2 linked regions of the Kluyveromyces lactis genome follow. The protein of the gene in region 1 interacts with the protein of each later gene in a biochemical or structural test. Links are inferred from orthologs where the notes say so. Each region holds a gene or a part of one and is shown on either strand. Other genes may lie near its edges. The genes, in order: MGE1 and MXR2.

What was found.
Region 2: the proteins of MGE1 (region 1) and MXR2 form a complex in vitro, tested with the Saccharomyces cerevisiae proteins (2 studies listed by BioGRID). The link is inferred for Kluyveromyces lactis from reciprocal best matches to the Saccharomyces cerevisiae genes MGE1 and MXR2.

The regions. Positions count from the first base shown.
Region 1 is NC_006040.1:623,398-626,405, forward strand, and holds MGE1 (mitochondrial nucleotide exchange factor MGE1), read left to right. Parts: upstream 1-1,709; coding exon 1,710-2,441; downstream 2,442-3,008. Other genes in the region: mitogen-activated protein kinase kinase MKK1, read left to right, coding at 1-1,352. UniProt on the Saccharomyces cerevisiae protein: Essential component of the PAM complex, a complex required for the translocation of transit peptide-containing proteins from the inner membrane into the mitochondrial matrix in an ATP-dependent manner.
Region 2 is NC_006039.1:103,644-106,480, forward strand, and holds MXR2 (peptide-methionine (R)-S-oxide reductase), read right to left. Parts: upstream 1,312-2,837; coding exon 712-1,311; downstream 1-711. Other genes in the region: LSB5 (Lsb5p), read left to right, coding at 1-582; EMI1 (Emi1p), read left to right, coding at 1,514-1,774; STE50 (Ste50p), read left to right, coding at 2,169-2,837. UniProt on the Saccharomyces cerevisiae protein: Methionine-R-sulfoxide reductase which catalyzes the reduction of methionine sulfoxide (MetSO) to methionine in proteins. Plays a protective role against oxidative stress by restoring activity to proteins that have been inactivated by methionine oxidation.

The sequences.
Region 1 (3,008 bases):
AGCCTCCAAAATTGTCGTTACCACCGCAATTGGTTTCCAATAGTAAGCCAATAACAGATATTAGGGATGAAAAGCTTCGACAACCTCCTTCCAAATCTGTACCGTCTAGTGCTACTCCGACTAGTAGTGCATCGGCGAGTTCTGCACGGACTTTGAAAAATCGACCAGTACCTCCACCGACAGCATCATCAGTGACACCGCTATCCAGTACTAACTCTGGAAGTGCGATGGGATCACTTTCGAACAAATTGCACGGGCTGAAGATCAATACGGACCATCTGCCAACGTCTGGATCACAGCAGTCAACCCAAAGTGCAGATTCGATGACTTCCAATCTAATATCCATGTACGATAGCGAACCAACAACAAGCAGCAGCACAAGCCTGGTAAACCATGGGAAAGAAAGTGAAATTATAGAGCACGATAGAGATGATAGCACAGATGAACTTGAGTCAGATATATGGCAAACTTACAAGATCCATGAACAAATTGATACGTTGGGAATATTGGGCGAAGGAACTGGAGGATCGGTCACGAAATGTAAGTTAAGGAACGGTTCAAAAATATTTGCATTGAAGACCATTGCCACGATAGAGAATGATGGCTCAGAGAAACAAATATTCAGAGAATTGCAATTCAACAAGAGTTGTAAGTCTGATTTCATAGTGAGGTATTACGGGATGTTTGCATGCGAAGAAACCTCGACAATTTTTATTGCGATGGAATATATGGGCGGAAGATCGCTAGATTCGGTGTACAAGCACCTTCTCTCTAAGGGGGGACGAATTGGTGAGAAGGTTCTGGGGAAGATAGCTGAGAGCGTACTTAGAGGACTATTTTATCTACACGAAAGAAAGATCATTCATAGAGATATTAAGCCACAGAACATATTGTTCAACGAAATAGGACAAATAAAGCTCTGCGATTTTGGAGTCAGTGGAGAGGCAGTGAACTCTCTTGCCACCACGTTTACAGGAACATCATACTACATGGCTCCAGAAAGGATACAGGGCCAGCCATACAGTGTTACCAGTGATGTATGGTCTTTGGGTCTCACACTATTGGAAGTTGCACAGGGACACTCACCATTTGATACGGATAAACTAGCAGCAAACATGCCCCCTATAGAACTTTTGATGCTTATCTTGACTTTCACACCTGAATTGAAAGATGAACCAGAACAAGGCATAGTATGGTCCAAATCCTTCAAATCGTTCCTTGATTACAGTCTGAAAAAAGATTCAAAGGATAGACCATCTCCAAGACAAATGCTACAACACCCCTGGATGGTGGGACAAACCAAGAAACACGTTAACATGAAGAAGTTTATTCAAACTTGTTGGGCGGATTGATTGCTAGCCCCTACTGGCCCACTAGATAGAACATGCAGGAACATGTATAGATAAATCATTTCTCAAATGGCTGCATGTCACGTGTTCCACAACATAAATCGGATCAAGTTTCAATTTTTTCATAGAGTTTGGTTTGAATTGAAAAAATGATCATGAAAGAGAGAAAGAACCGTATATAAGAAGACATTTAAGAAGAAAGAATTAGTAAAACAACCCAATACATCTTACATACCAACTGTCACTACCTCTTATTGACACTCAGTTGGATTTGAACTCACTTTGTTTTGCTAAATAACCACTGTTAATAGTGAGACTCAAGTCGACCAGAGAATATTTACTAACAGAATACAATAAAATATGAGACCATCAACCAGATTCTTGAGAAGCGTTACCAGAACTGTTCCAATCGGTTTCAGATCTACTACTGTGCCATTTGTATCTAGCACTTTGAGATCTAGTGCTGCAACCTCCAACCAGTTTTCTGCTAGGTTTTCCGGTGTTAGATTCTATGCTGATGAAGCCAAGAAGGAAGAACCTAAGGATGAGAACGATGCAGCTGCAGCTGAAGAAGACGCAAATTTGACTGAAGAGCAAAAAAAGATTAAAGATTTGGAAACCAAGTTGGATGCCAAGACTAAGGAAGCCTCTGAATTTAAGGACCGTTTGTTGAGATCAGTTGCTGATTTCAGAAATTTGCAAGAAGTTACCAAGAAGGATATCCAAAAGGCCAAGGATTTCGCTTTGCAAAAATTCGCCAAGGACTTGTTGGAATCCGTCGACAACTTTGGCCATGCTTTGAACGCTTTCAAACCAGAAACTCTGGAACAATCTCAAGAGCTTTCTGATCTATATACCGGTGTCAAGATGACCAGGGACGTTTTCGAAAAGACTTTGAAGAAGCACGGTATTGAACAACTAAATCCAATTGGCGAATCTTTTGATCCAAATAAGCACGAAGCTACTTTCGAATTGCCTCAACCAGACAAGGAACCAGGTACCGTTTTCCACGTTCAACAAATTGGTTACACTTTGAACGACAGAGTTATCAGACCAGCTAAGGTCGGTATTGTTAAGGACAATGAAAATTAGAAAATCTCTCAATAAAGAACCCCGAACCCAAAATCGATCTACTTCAAATGACCTTACCATGACTTATAATTTACGATAATGCTTGTTTTATGAACCTTCTAACTTTTTTTCCCCTCCTCACTCCATTTTTCTTTCATTCTGCATGATAACATCGATCAGCTTTTGAACGGAAAACATCTCTTTTTGTTCGCAGCAGGTTTGACTTTTATGTTCCCTCATAACGGTCATAATGGTCTCGCCACAATGACCCTACTTAATTCCCATGTAAATAAACTTGCACATATGTATATGAATTCTCTACCATGATCCAAAATGAAAGGACCTTTCTTTCTCTTATTAAAACGGTCTGTCATCCGTTAAGGTACGTCCGAGAGCATGAACGAAACGCATAAGTAAGAACATCCAACCCCTGCAGGCTCTACATCTTTAGTATACTCTGAACTCAATCTTCCATCAGCCACTCCACCCAAAACGGTATCTATATGAGCCCTCAAATCCTCAGAGGAAGACATATCAGTATCTACTGTTTACATTCTGGCTCTACGCCTAAGTCTACATGTAATGAAA
Region 2 (2,837 bases), on another chromosome or scaffold:
AAGGCTTACAAAAACAAGAAAAGACATACCAAGGTCATGAACAAATCTTATCAGAAGAAAAAGAAAGCATTACCTCAATTTTTAAGTGACACTGCCGATCGAAGAGCTGTCACCGCTGATGAACGGTATGGGATTCCAAGAATTGACCTTGAGAAGGAAGCTCCTAAGATTAAACTATTGATTAGCGACTCCTTAGAAACCGCAGTGTCTCTATCGAATGCTTTGTTGGCAATTCCAGCTCATAGTAAGTCCACCGACAGTGAGCTGTGTACGGCCAAATTCGTTCAAGCAAGAGCATTGAGAAGGAAGGTTCTACGTTATTTGCAACTGATTACCGGTGGTGAACTTTTAGGTGCTTTACTCCATGCTAACGAGGAGTTGGTCAATGCATTGATGGCATTTGACCAATTAGCCGAAGAAGGAGACATGGCTTCTTTGAATGAACGTGACAGTGATGAAGATGATCAAGAGGACAACGAAGCTTACATTTCTGATGAGGCATCAATACCTTCGTACACATCTAGAGGTGGAGCCGCTCAGCCCAATGATCCATTTAGCGATAACAATAAAATTAAGAATTGATGCGATCTCCTGGCGGAGCGTAAAAAACCGTAGAGCCATCTGTTTTAATTGTGTAATATTGTACACCTAATATAACTAAGTGAGCTAAATAATTGCAAACCTACAACTATTTGCCTAATCTGGTGAGCACTAACCTTCCTTGAAGTTCAAACTGCAACTGTTGACACAATGTCTTTGGTCAGTTGGCAAATTCAAGATTTTCTGCCATCCCTCCCCTTCGAACACATGCCCCATATGACCACCGCATCTACTGCAGCATATTTCTATACGAACCATCCCAAACGATTCATCGCGAGTAAAAGTTAAAGATCCCGGTATAGCATCATAAAACGCAGGCCATCCGCAGCCTGAGTCGAACTTCGTCTCACTCTTATAAATAGGCAAATCGCAATTTGCACATGAGTAAATCCCTGTTTGTTTGTTGTGCAAGTAATTTCCTGTGTTTGGTCTCTCCGTACCCTTATCACGTAGTACTCTTAGCTGTTCTGAAGTCAAACTCGGATTCCATTTACCGGTGCTATTCATTGTTCTGTAAAATTGCTTTGATAAGTTTAAAGATAAAATCCTTGAACAACTTCTTGAGAGCATCAAAAGTGTGAAACAATTATGGAGTGGTAAAACTTTAAGAATTATACCTATCAACAAAATAATGAAAGCTGAACAATAGATCCGATGGTGATTACAAATGCGAGTTTCCAGTTGTTTTCTCTTTACGATAGCATGGCTCATCGGCTTCTTGCAGAAAGCTAGTTGAAAAAATCCAAAATTCTATAATTTACAGCTTAAACATCTTTGTCAATAAAGAGCAATCTACAAAACGAAAGAAGGAGGTTGATTACGGAAGCAGCAAACCAGTCCGCCCAGTTTTGACCATTACCACAGCTACTTACCAAATAGAAAATATCATAGACTGTAAACGATATTCAACACTATGTCATCTAATTATCCAACAACAATGTCTTGCACTGATGCATTTGATCAGTTAACAGGATGTTTCAGTTTAGGAGGTCAGTTTAGAAATTACTACAGACATGGCCACATGAACGAATGTCTGAAAGAATTCGAGAAATTTAAGTTTTGTGTGATCCATAGTAAAGATCCCGTGAAGGTACAGGAATGGCACAAAGAGCAGTGGCAGAAGAACCAAGAAAGGAAAGGTACCTCCGATGACATTTGGAAAGAAAGAGTATAAACCATGGCCGTTGGAATGATAGATAGTTGTATATTTTCCACACGTATGTCCTGTAAATAAATGAATCAAAGTTACGATTGCATCGAAATACTTCTAGCGCGAATGTAGTAACAGGATTACCCCGTTCCCCAGGAATCTTATGTCAGAATATTCGCAGGGTTCCTTGTCATTTCTTTATGATTTCCGACAATATGGGAAAATCTATATTTAAACTTAATCGATTATTTGAATAAAACCAAGTGATACCAGAAAGTTGATGAAAGGAGATCCGGGGAACAGCTCAGTCTGTGGAGCATATCATTGAGCCAACAGAAGCATATTGATCAGTGGCTAACCAGTGATTCAATTGTGTTTTTACATCTCTTAAGAACAGGCATAGAAACAAAAACAAATAATGAGCGGTACAAATGAATGGTCAACTGAGGAGGTTTGCAAGAAAGTCAAAGCAGAACTTGGATTAACGGACGGAGATACATTCATCCTAGATAGAATACGAGAGAACAAGATAACTGGATCTACGTTATCTGAAATCACACTTGCCGATTGCAAGGAGTTATGTCCTGATAGCATTAGTGCCGTGAGGCTTAAGACATGCATAAACAAATTTGTTGACACGGAAGAACAAGCACCGGAACAAGAATTAGTGTTGACTATGAAAGGCTTACACCAGACGTTAAATGAAAAGTTACAAGAATTCCAATCTAATTATGCGCAACTCAGATTGGATTTGTTGGAAATCGTGAAGAGGAACAGTGGATCTGGTTCAGGTTCCTCTCAGTCTTCTCAACAACTTCAACATCAACCTTCTTCGCAAGATTACTTCGATAGAGCTCCACACCATTCTTCACACACGCCATCATCACCCAAATACAGATCGAATTCCAATCCAGGGCTGCCACCACAATCTTCAAGCACCAGAAATGTTTCATCGTCACATATTGCCACCACACCCGGATCGGCGAATACTCCAGGCGGAGCTGGAGTATCATCAGCTCCAAGTTCAGAACCTATGAAACAATTACGTGCCTCAAAGGAGGATTCATGTGAAAAGGTTTTAAGAAAT